5 linked regions of the Rattus norvegicus genome follow. The protein of the gene in region 1 interacts with the protein of each later gene in a pairwise test. Links are inferred from orthologs where the notes say so. Each region holds a gene or a part of one and is shown in the gene's direction. Other genes may lie near its edges.

Evidence for each region.
Region 2: the proteins of Coq8a (region 1) and Tfip11 interact in binary tests that used the Homo sapiens proteins (3 or more experiments, as listed by UniProt). The two-hybrid records come from large-scale screens. The link is inferred for Rattus norvegicus from reciprocal best matches to the Homo sapiens genes COQ8A and TFIP11.
Region 3: the proteins of Coq8a (region 1) and Tmem239 interact in binary tests that used the Homo sapiens proteins (3 or more experiments, as listed by UniProt). The two-hybrid records come from large-scale screens. The link is inferred for Rattus norvegicus from reciprocal best matches to the Homo sapiens genes COQ8A and TMEM239.
Region 4: the proteins of Coq8a (region 1) and Ldaf1 interact in binary tests that used the Homo sapiens proteins (3 or more experiments, as listed by UniProt). The two-hybrid records come from large-scale screens. The link is inferred for Rattus norvegicus from reciprocal best matches to the Homo sapiens genes COQ8A and LDAF1.
Region 5: the proteins of Coq8a (region 1) and Sh3glb1 interact in binary tests that used the Homo sapiens proteins (3 or more experiments, as listed by UniProt). The link is inferred for Rattus norvegicus from reciprocal best matches to the Homo sapiens genes COQ8A and SH3GLB1.

Annotation. Positions count from the first base shown.
Region 1 is NC_086031.1:94,446,372-94,449,886, reverse strand, and holds part of Coq8a (atypical kinase COQ8A, mitochondrial), read left to right. Parts: intron 1-369; coding exon 370-783; intron 784-1,032; coding exon 1,033-1,099; intron 1,100-3,515. UniProt on the Homo sapiens protein: Atypical kinase involved in the biosynthesis of coenzyme Q, also named ubiquinone, an essential lipid-soluble electron transporter for aerobic cellular respiration.
Region 2 is NC_086030.1:49,969,454-49,973,405, reverse strand, and holds the start of Tfip11 (tuftelin-interacting protein 11), read left to right. Parts: upstream 1-1,148; 5' UTR 1,149-1,221; intron 1,222-1,272; exon of another isoform or gene 1,273-1,383; intron 1,384-2,251; 5' UTR 2,252-2,439; intron 2,440-2,725; 5' UTR 2,726-2,734; coding exon 2,735-2,943; intron 2,944-3,952. UniProt on the Homo sapiens protein: Involved in pre-mRNA splicing, specifically in spliceosome disassembly during late-stage splicing events. Intron turnover seems to proceed through reactions in two lariat-intron associated complexes termed Intron Large (IL) and Intron Small (IS).
Region 3 is NC_086021.1:138,056,550-138,059,602, forward strand, and holds Tmem239 (transmembrane protein 239), read left to right. Parts: upstream 1-1,327; 5' UTR 1,328-1,384; intron 1,385-1,465; exon of another isoform or gene 1,466-1,517; 5' UTR 1,518-1,531; coding exon 1,532-1,987; 3' UTR 1,988-2,541; downstream 2,542-3,053. Other genes in the region: uncharacterized protein C20orf141 homolog, read left to right, coding at 370-527, 611-848.
Region 4 is NC_086019.1:183,914,572-183,918,725, forward strand, and holds the start of Ldaf1 (lipid droplet assembly factor 1), read left to right. Parts: upstream 1-1,347; 5' UTR 1,348-1,373; intron 1,374-1,745; 5' UTR 1,746-1,788; intron 1,789-3,528; 5' UTR 3,529-3,632; coding exon 3,633-3,728; intron 3,729-4,154. UniProt on the Homo sapiens protein: Plays an important role in the formation of lipid droplets (LD) which are storage organelles at the center of lipid and energy homeostasis. In association with BSCL2/seipin, defines the sites of LD formation in the endoplasmic reticulum.
Region 5 is NC_086020.1:236,435,134-236,438,648, reverse strand, and holds part of Sh3glb1 (endophilin-B1), read left to right. Parts: intron 1-895; coding exon 896-1,037; intron 1,038-2,169; exon of another isoform or gene 2,170-2,197; coding exon of another isoform or gene 2,198-2,288; intron 2,289-3,515. UniProt on the Homo sapiens protein: May be required for normal outer mitochondrial membrane dynamics. Required for coatomer-mediated retrograde transport in certain cells. May recruit other proteins to membranes with high curvature. May promote membrane fusion.

The DNA of each region.
Region 1 (3,515 bases):
CTCTGTGACTTATGCTTCTGCAGGCTTTCCTCATCTGTCCTGGCTTCTCTCCTAACAGCCCCATGGGCTCAGTGCTGGCTCTGCTTTATAGAGGAGGAGTCTGTTGCTACAGCCATGGGCATCTTCCCTGGCCTTGGTTGGTCCTATAGCAGGGACCAGTGGTATATAGATTCCTGCCTGAGATCACACAGCAGGGTTCTAGAAGAAGCATGTGAGAGCTGTTTGCGGTCTCCTAGACTTTGAAGTGGACCTCAGGTCTTAGGCTGCATCAATCACCTTTGGAGGGTTAGAGAGGGCTGATTGGCAGTCACATGCAAGTATCCTCGCCAGACCAGTCCTGCCCCTCACACTGGCCTTTGTTCTCCTCAGGGTCAGGATAAGCATGAAGATTCATATGCCACTGAGAACTTCGAAGATCTGGAAGCCGAAGTTCAGTTCTCAACACCACAGGCAGCTGGAAGCTCCCCAGATTTCTCCACAGCCTCCTCCCTGGACCAGCCACTGTCTTCATCCCTGGGTCATGCCCACAGGGAGGGCCCAGCTCCTGCCTATGTTTCCAGTGGACCTTTCAGGGAAGCAGGGCTCTCTGGCCAGGCTACCTCTCCTCTGGGCAGAGTCAATGGAAGGCTCTTTGTAGATTGTAGAGACTTGTTCTTGGCCAACAGCATCCAGCGAAGATTCTTCCACCAGGACCAGGCCCCTGTGGGAGGCCTCACCGCTGAAGACATTGAAAAGGCCCGTCAGGCCAAGGCTCGCCCAGAGAGCAAGCCACACAAGCAGATGGTAGGCCTGAGAGGCATCACTGTTGGACTTGGGTGGTTTCTACTCCCAGTGAGGCTGGCGTTGACCCTCATTTTACCCCCTGCCAACACCCCTCCCCCACTGTGACTTTAGAAATACGTGGAAGTCTTTTTGTCCAGTGCTGCCAGCAGGGGTGGAGAGGGGAGGTGCACACAGCATGCACCTCAGGCTGTCTTGGCTCATTCGTTAGTTTTGTCAGTCCTATAGGCCTCTTTTGTTTTTTCCCTCCAGCTCAGTGAGCGGGCTCGGGAGCGGAAGGTGCCAGTTACCCGGATTGGGCGGTTGGCCAACTTTGGAGGTGAGGTGGTCATGTACCCTGTGCTGCCCCTCCTCTACTGCCCTGCCCTGTTTATCCTGTGAAGGTGGAGGTGGCCACTGTACATTAAGGTGGAAGTGATTGGGAATCCAGCTGTGCTGGCATTGGGTGGTATGTGGCAGTGTTGCCCATGAAGTAGCTGTTGAGGGTCTGTTTTCTCATGGGTTATGACCTGGTTCCTGGATTCCAGCCTCAGCTTGGCTTATCCCTGTGGCTGGTGTGTGGCTGTGCCTTGCCACGAGCTACAGCTTGGACTAGTTGGCCGGTCGTTCTTGAGCAGTCTTTGCTGGAAGGAGACATATCACGAGTACTGGCGCCTCACTGGGCCCTTTAGCTCCCTAGAGGACCTTTTGCTCTGGGACCAGCCATTTGGGGAACCTGTTTACCAGATCCCACAGTCTGTAACTGTTAGTGTGATTCTGACAGACTGTGGCCCTTTGCTGCCGACAGTTAAAGTCATTCAGTTTGCTTCAGGCTTGGAACTTCATCTGTCCTTGTTTTTAGGCAAGCAGCCTTTGACCCTACCATCCCTGTGCTCTTCTGGAATGGCACTGAGTGTGTGGACACACTGCTCACTCACCTGCAAAGGTCTTGTTGAGAGCGCTGGCCATTTGCAGCAGGGTCCTGTGATGTGGGTTCTGGGTGCAGTTTATGAAGCTTTAGCACTCCTCTGGGGTTCTCCAGGTCCAGGCACTGTAAACAGCAAAAGACCAGCTTTGCTGGCTTGTTTCGCTTACTGGCCGTGGAGCAATGGCTGCGTAACAGTTCTGGAAGGTCATGACAGAGCTGGTGCTGAGTTGGCCAGGGAGGCCCAGGACCTTCTGTCTTCCCTTTCCTGGCAAGTACTTCCTCTTGTATATCTGTCTGTATCAGTTATTTTCTTTTCTCTCCATTGTTGCCAAACCTGTGGCCGAAACAACAGGCAGGTTCAGAAGGTTCAAGCTGTGGGCACTGTTTCTGGATCTTCAGTGAAGCAGTCTGTCATGGTGCTTGTGGTGTGGGGTAGAGCAGATTCTTCACTGAATCTGACAGGAACATGCTGGGAATGGCTGCTGCTCTGTACAGATTCAGAGATGGAGCTGAGCACAGACCTCTGTCCTGTGCAGGGACATCTGAGCTGCCTGCCCGATAAGTAGGCACCCATCTTCCCGCCTAGCAGCAGAGGACCTGGGAGAAGACACCTCAGGGAGCTTTGCCTCTTCCTTTTTGTTCCTCTTCCTCTTCTTCCTGGGCTGCAGCTCCTGTGGGGGAGGCTGCTGTTGGATGGCAGGTATTCATCAGAAGTAGGCTGTTAGTACCCACGCAAAGGACACTAGCCATGTGTATTAATTAAAGTGGGGTTTAGGGCTGAGGATGTGGTGTAAGGAGCGGAGATCTTACCTAGCACACACACGACCCTGGGTTCTTCCTGAGTGCAGGTAGGGCCTGGCCTACAGGGCCTGGTGTCTCAGTGCTCTTGTCTGGTTGCTTCTGCAGAGGCCCTTTCCAGCCTGTGTTGTAAACAGGCCCTGAGATTTCAGCAGGCAGAGCAGCACCAGCGGGAGTGTGGCCTGCTCTCCATCACCCAGCCTGCTCATGAAGGCCCCTGTTGATAAAAGCCTTGCTCTTCCCACATGTGCTAATGGTAGGGAGTGGAGTGACTGCTTCTCTGGTGACCTCCAGAGGGGACCTGAGAGTGGAGAGGCTAGGAGAGGCTCCCGAGTTACCCAGAATAGGCTCCCAACCTGCACACTGTACCTTTGCTTTGCCTGCGGGAGAGTTCTGTGCCCTGTCACTTCCCTTCCTTGATGGCAAACCATCTTTACTGAGAAGTACTAGGGCTTTCTGTGTATGGGCAGTGTGCTGCTACAGGCCAGGAGGAAGGTCAAACTGCCAGCAGTGACTCTCTCTCAGGGACACGTGGAGAACAAGCCTTCTAGACACATCACAGTAGGAGAGGCTGTGTGAGGTCCTTGGGTGCAGGAGCAGGGTACCTGAAGTTCCCCTCATCGCAGAGTTAGTTACCCCAGGTTTACCTGGCTCTGGATGAAGGCTGAGCTGGGCAGGGGATTCCAAGAATCACATACCAGGCCTGGGTTCAGAGAACCTGGGAGGCCAAGAGCATGATGGCTATCTGGGTGAGCGTGTTCTTACCTCCTGATCTGCCTGCCGTGGGAGCCTGTCCCTCTGTTGGCAGCTCCTGGGTCTGGTGCAGCAACTGAAGGAGCCAGAGGCCTCTTTTCTAGAATGTTCCTTCATACATTTGTTTAATATCCCCCAACCCCATTGTAGAATTTGTGTTTTGCCTGGGAGCCCAGAAACACCCAAAAACTGTTTGACAGAACGCTGAGCCCAGCCAGGGTACGCTTAGGATCTGAGTGCTGTATGTGCAGCTGAACAAGCCCATGACTGGGGATGC
Region 2 (3,952 bases), on another chromosome or scaffold:
ACCAATCATTCATCAAGCAAACCACCCCACAGTCTTGCCTGTAGACCATCAGGATGATGGAAGCACTGAGGTTCCTTTTCCCATATAACTCTAGTGTGTATCAAGCTGATGGGGAAAAACAAAAATCCAACCAACAACAAAACCCACCAAGACGCAGCCTTTTAGTGTACTAGAGAAAACGAGCGTGTTTCAGAACCAGAGATGGCATCAGACTATGTGTAGATTTGTAAGATGTGTAGAGTGTAAGATGAACTATGCCCCCGTCCTGTGGGCCAGTGGTGGTGCATGCCTTTAATCCCAGAACTCAGGAGGCAGAGGCGGGCATATCTCCGAGTTCGAGGCCAGCCTGATCTACAGAGTTGAGTTCCAAAACAGCCAGGGACACAAAGAAACCCTGTCTTGAAAAAACCAAAAACCAAAACCAAACCAAACCAAACCAACAAAAAAGCCCAACTCCTTTCTTTCTCAGCACCAGAGAAATAACTACAGCAGCGAGGAAAACTGCTTCCTGGCGAGAACGCCCGGGCACTCCTTCGGAAACTCATTCCTTAAACTGTTCCAGGCCCACACTGGTTTATCCTAACAGAGACAACCCAAGAATCAGGTATTTCAGAACAAAATAGGGCCAGGGATTGACAAAGAAAAAACAAATTTATTACAGGCTGTGCACAGCTGCCTAGAGATAAGTTCTTCGGTTCCTCTGCCTTTCCTGTTTACAGAGTTACAGAAAAGATAAAGCAAAAGCCAGGAAGCACGCTCGCCGATTACAACGCGAGGACCTCCGGCAGCCAAGCTCTTCCTCTGGGGCTGGGCCCTTAGCCTTTCCTTCTCGCGACATGGGGTCCTGAGGACATTTTAATCACTCAGGGTCCCCGTGACGCTGGTTCAGGCACTATGGGCACGGCGGTTCTATCCGGCGGTGGCTTCCTTGGGATAACACCTTCTCCGCCTTTGACAAACCAAGACCCCAGTGCTTGCAGAGGGACCAGACATCCACTCGGCCTCAGTTCCGATGGGAACCGGAAGCAGAGCGAGGCCTTCCAGTACTCAGACACGCCCCCTTAGCGTTAAGTCGCTGCCGGGGCAACAGCGCGCCATTTCCGCCAGCGAGTGACGCACTTCCTGTGCGCCGGCAGGTCACATCCGGGTTTCGGCTAGCGGGTCCCTCGCAGGCTCTGGGAAGGTGGACCGAAGTTGTGTGATTCACGGGTGCTGAGTGAGGTGAGCGGGCGGCGGGGTGGCGGGATGGCCCGGAGGGCGGGCTGATGCTCTATGGCGGCGGTCCCATGCTCTCCCCGCGCCCAGGTCTCCAGCCCGGCCCGCCGCGGGACGGGACCTGGGAGCGTCCTGACGCTGACACTAAATAACCAGCCCCGAACGCGGGTAAGCTGAGTGTCTCCTGACCACTGTGGGATTTTTACTATCCCCTGTGCTGGGGAGGTGGTAATCTCATGAGCCCAGGGCTTCCTGCTCCTTTGAGAACTTTGCGCTCAACTCTTAGCTGAGGTTGAGACCTGTTGTGATGAACCGGTGCATAGTGAGGAGTAGGGAGATGTTTATAACAACGGAGCGCTTTCTCCGCTGTCAATTACTGGTGCATCTGTACACCATGGAGTCACATAGTGAGGACATTGCTGTGCAGTGTCGGGGCCTTTGTATGTGATACCCACACACAGAGGTGTTCATAGAAGCGTGATTTAAACTCAGGCGGTAGTGTTGAGTGTTCCTGATTTTCACAGTCATTTTGAAGGGTTCACTTCTCAGCCCTGACTGGTAATGACGGTGATCCTGAAACCACCTGACCACGGGACGGAAGTAGAAGATGCTTTTTTCTTACTTTTTTTTCTTTCTTTTTTTCTTTTTCTCCCCTCCCCCCACCTTGTTTACTGTTTTTTTTCGAGACAGAATTTCTCTGTGTAACAGCCAGCCCTGTCTGTCCTGGAACTGTCCTGGACTGGCTTTGAACTCAGATCCACCTGTCTCTGCCTCCCTATTCCTAGAATCAAAGATGGTCATCATCCTGCCTGGTGAGGGTGCTGTTTCTTGAGCACCTGCAGGGAGTTCAGCTTTTGTTGTTTTGTCTGTTTTGAGACCAGGTTGGCTTTGAAATTACTGAGATGGACTGCCTTTGTCTTTCTAAAGGATTGTTTTAGTGCTTGCAAGCTACTTCTGGAACTGAATGAATGCAGTTATGAGAGAGAGCTAAGTAGATAACCTGGGTAGAACACTTTGTTTACTCTACACCCTCTAGGCGTGACTGTGAAGTGTCGTCCAGAAAGACCACCTCCTTCCAATCCCTCAGAAGCCATTCAGGTTTGGGAAGGAAACCTTCAGTTTTGTGAGACAGTATTTCAGAAAATGCTCTAAAGTTTCCCTGGAACTGCAAATCAGCTAGGTACAACTTCCCTGGAGAAGGAAAGGACCAACTTGGTTTCTGAGGTAATAGCACATGGAGCTGTTGCTTCCTTTCTGTGGCATGTCTGCCGTCTGTCTGTGGCCCCACCCCATGCATGCACTATGTTTGACTCTGAAAAGGCATTGTTCCTTAGACCCCTGTGATGACCGGGTCTGACTCGTCTCACTTGTTGCAGAGCTGGTCATTTTATCCTGTGTTTAATGGCTGCTTTACTGAGTTGTATTATGAGGCTCATAGCTTTTTGACTCCGGAGGATCTTCTGCTGGCCGTGGGTTCTCACAGTGCTGTTCTTGTCCCCTCTTCTTGTAGTGACTGGCCATGTCTCTGTCCCACTTGTACCGGGATGGGGAAGGCCACCTTGATGATGACGATGACGAGCGTGAGAACTTTGAGATCACTGACTGGGATCTCCAGAATGAGTTCAACCCCAACCGGCAGCGTCATTGGCAGACCAAAGAGGAGGCCACCTATGGAGTGTGGGCTGAGCGTGACTCAGACGAGGAGAGGCCCAGCTTCGGAGGCAAACGGTACTGTGTGCTGGGCTGCATGCCCTTGGTCTGGAGGGTCAGGAGGACACCCTAGAAGAGTTTCCTGCCCTGCTCCTGTCCAGACACTACAGCATCCTGCTCTGTACTGTTGAGCTGGGATGGCAACATCCTCCTTAGCAATTACTGTGTGACGGGAGCAGGATATGGACAGAGACGTGCTGGTCCACCACAGGCATGGCAGCTGTGGGACCATGCTGTGCCAAGGAACACTTGCAGGGCACTAGAGAACAGGGGGGGTCAGGGAAGGTCACTCTGGAGAAGACTGTTGGCCCAAATGAAGGCGTCGTCCACAGGGGACGTGTGGTAGTACGGCCTGGGCTACATAGTAAGATGCTGTCTCTCAAGGCAAGAAAACAGCATGTGCCTCCCAGCTGACCTCACTCAGAATATTTTGTTTAATTTTACTTATGATTTTTTGATTAATTTTAATTAGGATTTTTATCTATCTGGGTTGTTCTGTTTGAGTTTTACACTTGAAAGAGTATCTAAAACAAATGCCGTGTGTGTTTTACATGCACGCTAGATAAGAACTGTACCACTCTAAAGCAAGCAGGGAGCTGAGACAGTCTTTTCGGTTGTGAAAGGGGCCCAGTGTGATGGCTTAGAGGTGGAGATGTCTGCAGGGCAAGCCTGGTTAGCTGCGTTCCATCACCAGGTTCCTACATGAAGGGTGAAAGGGATGAGCCACTCTACAGATTGTTCTTGCACGCAGCAATAGCGCCATTTTTGAAAGTGTCAAAGGGAAGTGAGATCATTGCATCCCAATTTGAACTCATAATCAACTACTGACAGTGGCAAGTCTTCAGCTACAGGTTTGAGTTGAACGGACCACATGAGCGTTAAATGTGGGCTGGAAGAGGACTCAGTAGCAATGAAGATTGAGCACTGCTCCAGCAGACCTGAGTGTGGCTCCCAGCCAGTGCCACGGCTGGCAGCTCACACTGCCCCTGATTCCATCTTCGGGGAATCTGCTTTGGCTCACAGGGGA
Region 3 (3,053 bases), on another chromosome or scaffold:
AGTGCTTATGAGGCGAGACAGACTGTTGTCCTGTCCTTAATTCAAGGCCCTGCCTGGTAATAGGTCACAATGCCCCAGAGTGTTCAAATCTAGAATGGTCAACCCAAGTAGGAGGAGGTGAGGAGAGTTGGTGAGGATGTTGGGTGGGAGTCGGGGGAGGGAGATCCCCAAAGAGGCTAGTTCCTCACTCACTGAGCTCACCCTGGAGTGTTGTATCCCTTCACTGATCCTCAATCTCCTAGCACGAGGACTCCCTAATAACCTTTGGGACCTGGCTCTGCTTACTCATGCCCAGAACTATTCTACAGCCAACTTCCTCCTTCCAGAGGGGCTGGAGACTGGAGAGGGATTGAGTAGTGTCAGTGAGCCATGTGTGTCCCCTGGGACTTCAGCCAGGCCCAGCTCCTGGACAGTATCCTAGGGCTGGGGGCGCTAGGAGTGACGATTCGAACAGTCTTCTCAACGGCTGGCCTAGCCCTGCTGCTCCTGTTGCTGTCCAGCTTCCTTGTTTTTGACCTGCTCCGTGGGTAAGTGCCACCTGTCAGGTAGGTGTCACAAACACAGGGACAAATGAGCAGTTGCCTCGAGCTGCCATCTTCTCTCTCCACAGATCCACAGGTCCCAACCTGCCACGGCACAGACTTCTCCCAACAGGTCAGAGCCAGGGGGCTGGTGAAGGGCCAGGACAGCAAGCAGCTCCCCTGTCCCCAACAGGGAGAGTCTCGGGACTGCTCAGACTCCAGGATGCACTGCTCCTGCTGTTCCTGGGCCTCAGCCTGCTCTTGGGAGGCTCTGGTATCCCCTTAGCCATGCTGGGCCTAGCTTTCTGTATCCATCCGTGGGCCTGAGGGGCCTCCAAAAGATGAATGCCTTCTAAAAACACACCATCCAATCTGCTCTCTGATTTCTTCTCCTCCATCCTGAGCTACGTGAGGGTAAGGTTGTCTGTTGGAAGGACAGAATAGTCCAGTATATTCAGCTTGAACCTTCTAGTTCCATAATATGAACATTTGGTAGCTGGGTCTGAGGCTTAGGGCATTAAGAGAAGGCAGAGAAAAGGGTGGTTACAGAAACCAATGCCAGCCATGAAGTTGGAGGCAGCCATCCAGGAGGGACAGGTGTGGAGAAGGCTTCCTACAAGCAAGGAGAATGGCATCTGTGAGGCTTGCTGAGCTCTCCTGCCAGCCTGGAGGGGCCGTGAGTAAAAGACGTGAGTGAGTCTCACACTGCAGCAGCTCTTCTCTCGGCTGGGCCCCACCCCAGCCCGGGTCATAATGCACCCCTCTGGGGATGGTGGGGTGAGCGAGGGTGAGACTGGGACCTGGCTGCCAGGTTAGCCTGCACACAACAGGAAGCACCATGACTTAGGTGGCTCTGCCCAAAGGTGAGTCCTAGCCCCCGGGTCAAAGCCCAATCCTGCCCATGCTGGTATCCTCCTGACCCCTGCATGCCCTCCTATCCAAAGGTCCTGGGCATCTCCAGGGTTGCTCCTGCAGCTGGCCTGGCCCCATCCACAGGTGCACCAGCCGTGATGCAGCAGCCACGAGTGGAGACGGACATCATCGGGGCTGGCGAGGGGCCCCAGCGGGCAGCGCCCTGGTCAGCCTGGGTTCTCCGTCAGGACTGGGTGCGCTGGTGGGTATGCCACATACCTCGGAGCTGGGCCCAGTGGTGGAATACATCAGGCTGGAGGCAACCACTGCAGCGCATGCTATGGGGTCTGGAGGGGACACTGTACCTGCTGCTGGCACTGATGCTGTGCCATGCACTCTTCACCACTGGCTCCCACCTGCTGAGCTCCCTGTGGCCTGTGGTGGCTGTCATGTGGAGCCACCTGCTGCCAGCTGTCCTGCTGCTTGTGCTCAGTGCCCTGCCTGCTCTGCTCTTCGCTGCCTCCTTCCTGCTGCTCTTCTCCACACTGCTGAGCCTCGTGGGCCTCCTCACCTCCATGACTCACCCAGGCTACGCTCAGGACTTGGACCAATAGAAGGGCAACCCCATCTTACTGCTTGTGTCTGTTGAGCCCTGGCCTAGGGCCTGAGCCCTGTGGGGAGGGTGGGCAGGGAAACTCCAACAGACCTCAGACCCCCAGTCACAAACACAAGTGGGGGTCTGGATTCTGGGCATCTACCTTAAACCCACACTGGTGTCAGGAACAGGACGGTCTTGCTAGGACAAACCACGGAAAGCACCATGTCACTTGATCTTCCTGGCAGAACCCTTTTGTCACCACCTCAGCCCTCCCAGCTCCAGGCTTCTTGAGAGTTTCCATGTACATATCCCTGGGCTTGTCTGGATTTGTCCCGGGTCCTCTCTCTAATTCCAGGAGGAGCACACACTCTGGAATGGGTTTTATTGACAGAAAGAGAGGCTGGGGACCTCACCTCACAGAAACGGGAAAGAGGCCAATCATGGGGGAGACTGAGGGAGGGTGGAGAGTGTGTGTGTAGACTGGACCCAAGGCTTTGTGCATAAGCAAACACTCCACCCTACATACTCATATTTTTAAGAGCCTCCAGGTCTGTTACAAAAATGCAAAGTTCCATATCTTGGCCAATTCACTATTCTTGAACCTCAGCGTTAAGGGAGCCCCCATGTTTTCATAATGTCGTTACGATCGAAAGCCAGTATCTGTTTGCAAACTACTTTGCTTTTGCTGTTGTTTTGAAACAGGGTCTCATGAAGCCCAGGGTGGCTTTGGACTCTTTAGCTGGGAATGACTTTGAATTTCTGATCCTGTCGCCTCTATTTATGTGCAGAGTACTGGGATTAAAACTTGCGCCATCATGCCTGGTTTTATGAAAAGTACTTTGTAAGGCTAAACAGCAGTTAAGCTCAAAAGGCCTTTTGATTCAGAAGCTAAAAGATGGAGTATGTTTCTCTAGGCTTGCACAGAAAATCTGTCATGTATGGAGTCCCAGCCCCAGAACTGACATGGAATGAACGGGGCGATGAAATGTGAAAGGTACCACGTGGCCTCACGCTAGGCAGATACTGAACTAGATGAGTTGTGCAATGCCTGAGACCGGAGCCTGGTCCAGGAAATGTTGTAA
Region 4 (4,154 bases), on another chromosome or scaffold:
CTTAACCTCTAAGCTGCCTTCCTGGTCTTCTCTCTCCTCCCGTGTAATATTTTTGAGTTCCTATTACGTGCCTGAGAGGTACTCAGTCCTTTAAAGGCATCTTTTTCGTTGTCCTCAGTAAAACCCTGTGATTTCTCTTTTTACCCAAGAGTTTACCCATCTCCAGGATGCTATTGGTACAGGGCTCTGGGAGAGAGGTGGGTCACTCCAGGACTTTGGGTGAAAAGAGCCTGAGACCTGTTTAGCAGCAGACGAGTACCTGGGCTTGCCCTTCTCCTCATTTAATGGGTGAAAAAGATGTGGCTCAGAGCACTGTGTGGTTCAGCAACATTACACAGTGACACCTAGGCTTGGGCACTGAGATGGGGACTCCAGAGGCCCAGCCCATAGTTTTCTGCTGTAAGTTCATCAGCAGTGCTTCTGCCTACCTGATGGTTGATGATCGCACCCCATCCCCAACCCCTTGGAAGCATTTTAAGTTATTGCAACTGGGAGGGTCTGTTACTGTATTTTTTTATTTCATGGGTAGAGACCAGGAATGCCACTAAGCACCCCAGTGTGCTCACAAGACATCTCAGAAGCAGACTTCGTCCCATCTCAAATGCCAGTAGTATTAATATTGAGTAACTAACGGGGTTCCTCAGGCCTACATTTGAAACCGGGAAACATGGGTTTCTCTACCAAGCGTCCTTGAGAAGAGGATTTGTTTCTAGCTCTTTGTTTTTGTTTTTAAATCCGTAAAATGGAGATAATCCCTCTCTAAGATTCTCTGGCTGCCAACATTTGCGCCTGCATAATGGCTAGAACCTTCCAGTACAGGAGCTACCTAACTGATTGACTGGTGTGACTTGAACTCTAGGGGTGAATCCAGAACTAGTTCTGCCACTATAATCCCACCTCTAGTTGCCAATCCTCCTAAAATGTGGCCCCAGAACTTTCACTCCAAGCCACCGGTGTAGGAAGAGACTGTCTCCAGACAGTCATTTACTCATTAGTCATCCACTAGAGCCTAAAAGTTTGTGGGGGTTGTTCCTAGAGTGTGTAGGAAGAAGCGGGCTGCCTAGCAAAGGTGTCAAGCCGAGCAGCTAGACGTCTGGATACACTACTCTTCCTGGCCAGGCTGGGAAAGCGCGGCGGGGACTTGAGCCTGGGGCGAGGGCCAGGGTTGGTCCTCCGCGAGAAGGGGCGAGGGGCGGAGCCTCGGCGAGGGGCGTGACAGAAGGGCGGGGCTTCGGTAGAGGAAGAGCGCTTGTTGGTGAGGTGGAGCGAGTCCGGTTCCTTCCCCAAGTCAGGCCTGTGCCTCTTTTCTTCCTTCCACTTCGCTTTGCGCCCTCTGTGGCTACGGGGCGGGGTATTGCGGCAGCCAGCACCAGGTGAGAGAGCAAAGCTGGGGTGTGAAGTAGAGGACCCCGGCTGGCTGAACCCTCCAAGCTCGGCCTAGGAAGCGGGGGAGTGCAGGGGCGGTCGCGGGAGAATGCACTAGCTTCCTCAGCCTGTTGCCACCCGCCTATGGGTTGGTGATGAACTTTGCCTGTCTCCTTGAGTTGCTGGGCGCGGCTAGGAGCTCGCAGGGAGATCTCATCCACCATTTCCAGCCATCTCCATGCTTACACACTGGCAGCTAGATTGGGGAGGGGACGGGATGGGGAGGAGCCACCAATGCCAACCCACCGGAGAGGCCCTACCTTCCCTCTTGAGTGGGAAGAAGTGGAGTCTGGTCTGAGCATCCTCACCTTCTCCAACAGGGGTGCCATGCGCCACAGCAGGAGGGAGCTACAGGTGTCAAAGGTGGGTTTGCCCCAAGTGATTAGTGACAAGATCCCCAATTGCCCTGAGTTCCGATCTCTTAGTTTCTGTGCCCCATAGTCGTGATCAGACCCATCCACTTCACACCGGTTTCTTTCTCTGTGGATCCCTGGCCTTAGAATTGAAAGCCTCAACCCTCATCGGAAATGGGGTCCAGAATAAATTCCCAGGAGCCCCGAAGGCCCTGCCCCCATCTGGGGATTCGACCCGACTGGCAGCTGGAACGTTCGCGATGGCGGTTTGTTTGCAAGATGCGAGACTCGGAAGCCAAAGCTTTATTTGGAACCTTAAAAGGGGCGGGGCGCGATCTCAGAGAACTTGACTAGGCCCCCTAAAACTGAGAGTAGGCGGGGCACCTACTCTCCCCCTAGGCTGGTTGGGGTGGTGCAGTCCCACCTTCCCTGTGGTGCTGCTCAGAGTCTGCAGAGGACCCTAGAAGGAGTAAATGGTCAGGAAATTGTTGACTGCGGTCCTCCTCCGCATTCTTCCTACCCTTGCTTTCAGCAGGCTCTCCAGACCGGTTCAGTGGCGTTTCCCAGGCCAAAGAAGAGTTGTAAGGGTGTAGTTTGATTTGTTGTAGCCCACTGTGGAAATGAGATTAGGTAAACTGAAGCCTGAGGCCATCCTATATTCAATCTTAGCGCCAGCTGCTGCTTTAACAACATAAATAATGATGCAGGCGTTGATTCTCTCCTGACCAAGGGGAGAGACTCTTTAGCTGGTGTCATGAAGGTTTGCTTACTAGACTCTGTGGTGTAGACACTGGTAAGGTGTGTTTCCTCATGTAATACCAAATAGGCAAGTGGTATATCCAGTTATTTTGGGCACTGTGACGGAATCTACTGAGCACAGGTCTATAACGTATATAAGGCTAGCTGCAAGGAGATCCTATTTTTTTTCCAACCCAGACATATGTTCTAGGAGACATAAACTAAGAATAATACATTAATAAGAATAATATTTTTATTTGAAAACCCAACCAGGGTTAAAAGCATATTTAATTTGATACATTGTCATAATGAAAAATGCAGAAACAGTGTGAGAAAGAGACTGTCTTATAAATTCCAGGCTGCTGTTGAGTCACAGAAAATAATTGTGCCAAGGCCTTGGGGACAGGTCTGTGAAGGCCTTACCACACATAAATAAAGTATGGCATTGTGCAAGGTTCTTAGGAGCCAAAGAAAGAAGAGAAAGTACCTCAGGTCCCTGCTGTAGGAGCAAAGAAAGCCTGGAGTTACGGTAGGGTGCGTAGGGAGAAGGGGTGGGGTGGTGAGTTCTGAATAGTACATTCAGTTTTCTTGTTTGGCATAAGTTCTTGGAGATTACTCTTTCTAGCTCTTTTTCTACAGTGTGTGTGTGTGTGTGTGTGTGTGTGTGTGTGTGTGTGTGAGAGAGAGAGAGAGAGAGAGAGAGAGAGAGAGAGAGAGAGAGACTGAAGTGTTAATGATAAATGAATTTAGTTTTTTTCCTGACATCTTACTAGTCATTTTATAATCAGGAATATGATATACATCCTTTGGGTATGTTTTTCACACATCTATTTATCTTATTTACATTCCTGAAAAATAAATTGCTGGATCAAAGTGCGTACAGCTGAAATTTTTGATAAATATTGTCAAATTATGTCCATTTACATGCCTGCCATTGATGTATTAGGGATGGCACAAGCTCCTTGGAGATTGCTGAAAATTCAAGAATTTTTTGTCCGTTTGTTTCCTTCAGTGATAGCAAGAGCTGGGGTGACATGAGAGATTGGGCTACGTGCTACAGTAATGCAGTTCCTGGTAGAGGGTCTACTGTAGAGTGAGACTGACGAACATTTCAAGATGGCCGAGGAAGAGCCCCCGAGTGTCTCCAGAGACTTACAGGAGCTGCAGAGGAAGCTGGGTTTGCTGTTAGAGTCTTTCCAGAATAACTCAAAGGTCAGTGCCCAATGCCATACATAATGGGAAACCCGGAATAACACTGGTCTGAACAAGACTGGACATTGGTTCTTTCTCAAAAGGAATTTACAAGTAAGTCAGGAATCTTTCTGCTGGCACCCTGCTATGTCTGATTCCTGACCTGCTTATCCACGATCACTGTGACTGCTAGAGCATCAGCCAGCATATTGACATGCAGGGCAATAGGACAGCAGGCAGGCGGGAAGAAACATTATTTTTAAGGCACCTCCAAATTAGAGAAGATTCCTGGAAGTCGGAGAATCACAAAACACTAGCTAAATCCCATATAATGCAGAATTTGGTTATAGAGTGACCCCTTGTGGTAACTGCCATTTTTGGCTGGATCTAAAGAAGCCATTCTTGGTGTATACAGCAGACACTATCCTTCTTTGAAATGTTTGGCTC
Region 5 (3,515 bases), on another chromosome or scaffold:
AACGCCTACGCTTTGGGGCTGGAGAGAGACCTCAGCGAATTAAGATGCTGCTTACGCTCTTGCAGACAGAACCTGATTCCAATACTTAACACCTATGTCTGGTGACCGGCAACTCCCACTAATCCAACTTGAGGACTTCAGTGCTCTCTTCTGGACTCTGTGGGCACCTACACTCTCATGTTCTCACACACATATAAATTCTTTTTTAAAAATAAATCTTATAAAAAAAGAATACTTCTGCTGTGTGAATATCATAGCAGAAAGTAGCCTGTAAACACATTGTTGGAGCAAACCCTGAAGAAAAGCCCAAAGGATGCCTGCTCAGAGGATCCCATGAAAGTCTAACTTGGGTGTAGTTAAACTTAAAAATAATACATAAGTCATAAAAGAATTAAAATATTCTAAAATTGAATAATAATTACAAGGCTCTAAGCAGAGAGATTTATTTCTATAGACAGTCATACTTAATCCTTAAAACAATTATTGTTTGAGAAGCTGAGACAATAAAAGTGCAAACCATTCTGAGCGGCACAGTAAAACCTCATCTTAAAAGTACATGTTCATTGTGTCACCTTTATGATAGATGATACAAAAGGGGGAAATTCTGAAAAGTTTGCCTGTGTCGATTAGCATACAGTCAGGGTCTGAAGTCCGAGTCAGACCATGCAGTTTATCAGAGGAATGAGATAGTCATGGTAAATCCTGTGGTAGGATGTAGGAGGGTGGATAAGTGACCACGGACACAAACAGCGCTGAAAGCAGTGACTTATAAACAAGCCTGGAGTGGACCTGTTTGCACGTCTAGAATCGTTTGGATTTGACTTTTACTCTTTGGCTGTGTCCTGTGTATGTGAGGTGTGTTGATATACTACACTCGTGTTTTAAATGCTGACAGTTCACAGAGGAAAAGCTTGGCCAAGCAGAGAAGACAGAACTGGATGCTCACCTGGAAAATCTCCTCAGCAAGGCGGAGTGCACCAAAGTGTGGACAGAGAAGATAATGAAGCAGACTGAGGTGCTGTTGCAGCCAAATCCAAGTAAGGCCCCCACTTCCCGCCCTGAGTGCTGCAGCCCATGGCTCTCAGGTTGAAAATGGTGTCTTCTGTGTCTTCAGGGTCTGTAGCTTTTATGTATGTGATTTAGAAGAGCTGATGCACACTTCTACATACCCCCTAACAGATCCACAGTTAACATTATGTAGGCCTTTCTAGAGAAGAGGCTGTTTTCAGTTTGCTATTTTCCCCTAAGTTTGAACTTGATTTTTAGATAACCACAGTGTTGAGGATCAGCCTTGCAGATGAGCTGTGCACTAGTTTGCAGAGTGGAATTGCTAAGTGAGCCTCTTGTGCAGCATAGCAGACTGTCTGAAGTGGAGTTTGAACTACAACCAAATGGATTGCATCTAGTCCTTTTCCCCACCATTTATTTATTCCCTTTACATCCTGACTGTAGCCCCTCCTCCCAGTCTCCACCTCATTTAGCCCCTCCCCATCCCTCCTCCCCTCCCTTTCTCTTCTGATAAGGGGACACCCCCCACACACGCCACCCCCAGCAACCTACCCTGGCTCATCAAGTCACTGCAGGGCCAAGTGTATCCTCTTCCAGTGAGGCTAGACAAGGCAGCCCAGTTAGAGAAACAGGATCCACAGGCAGGCAGCAAACTCAGGGACAGTGCCACACCCCACCCCCTTAGTTGTTGGGGGACCCACGCAAAGACCAAGCTGCACAGCTGCTACATATAGGGTGGGGCCTATGTCCAGCCCACGTGTGCTCTTTGGTTGGTGGCTCAGTCTCTGGGAGCCCCCAGTCCATTAGTTGACTGTTCCCTTCTCCTAGTTGGGTTAAGGAGCTCTATAAATATCAAAACCAAAGGGCAAAGGTAACAGTGTGTGTTTTCCTTTCCCCAGTGCTATTGTGAGCACACTATAAACTTTCATTGTCTTAAACTTCAAGTATTATAAAAATACTAATAATCCTGTGTGTGCCATTGTAGTTAAATTGTTATAACCTTTAAAAATTAAGTATGCAAGCCTTGAGGAAGGCTTCTTGTCTTTGGACACCACACACGCAGGGCAGCATTTCTTGATCATTCACTAACATTTAAATTATGCACAACTATACTTTAACACTACTACTGGATCTTTTTCTACCCCGGCCACACACGTGTAGAAGAGTCGGTCTGCAGTTGGTTTTCTGAATGACAAGTGAGCTCAGTGAGTGGCGGGCAGGCGAGTGGAGGCGTATGGCACAGTATCCGCTCGAGCCTTTTCTCCATTGTTTTCCAGGAAGTAAGTCAGGGTGGTTGTTTTGTGCTCTAGTTATAAAATTGCATGGATAAAGTAACCTTTAATCTTTCCTCAAAGTCCTACAATTTAGATATTTTTAAAAAACTATGCATAAATATACAATATCATAGCAGAAATGCCTGCATAAGTTCAGAGCTCATGAATAACTTAATGAAATAAAGCAATGTTTGCTAATATACTACGTATTTATTTACTGAATTAAAACAACGCAGGATTATCACCTTTGAACTCTTGACTTATTAGGTAAAAAGAAATTAGAGCTGAAAATCACAATTAGGAACCTGGTCAGTGTTTCATGGACAGATAATTCAAAATGACTCAATTAGGTTTTAGTAAAGGTTTTAGTTTTGGTTTTGTTTTGAGGTAGGCTCTCTCTGTCTAGCTCTGGCTACTTGGAACTGACTAAGTAGATCAGGCTTGCCTCACACTCACAGATACTTTTCTGCCTCTGCCTCCCAAGTTCTGAGATAAAGGCATGCTCCTGGCCAACTAAAAGGTTTTAGGTTCTGCTTTGCAGTTCTTGGGGGTTTGCAGGAGACTGCCAAAAAAGCAGTATTATTTTGACAATCTCTAACTTATATATTTTATATTACAAACCAACCCTGTTATGTGTTACAATTAACATTTTAGCCAACTTCTGAAGTATTTCCATTACCACCTTTGGATTTTTCAAAAAACAAAACAAAGAAACAAACAAAAACCGAAAAAAAAGAAAACAAAACCCCAAACCTGTCCACTGTAATTAGGAAGAACCCAAACATGAGCTCTGGTACTGCATGCATCTGCACATGTGTGTACCCCAGCCCACTGGAAGGAAAAGACGTTAGCTGCTGTGGACAACACTGCCAGTCAGTCTGCAGACTGTTCCAAGGCCTTAAGCTCTGTGTCTATGTTTAGACTCTGTACGAGAGAATTACATGTTCATGCCAAAGGTTGTCAAGTATCACTCTTAGACCTTAAATACTCTGTATCCATATTTCCCTAGCTACATATCCCTGATTTTAAAATCATAAATGTAATTTCAGAGTAGGTTAAAGGCAACTTCACTATATATTAAATTTATAAATTTCTCTTCTAAAGATAAAATCTAAAAAAAATACCCAAATAACAAGTTTAACTTTAGAATAATTGCTTTTGTGCAGAGATCTATATTGCCAGGTTTCTGAACTATAAAGTTTTAGAGATTATACAATAGCCAACATCTAATTA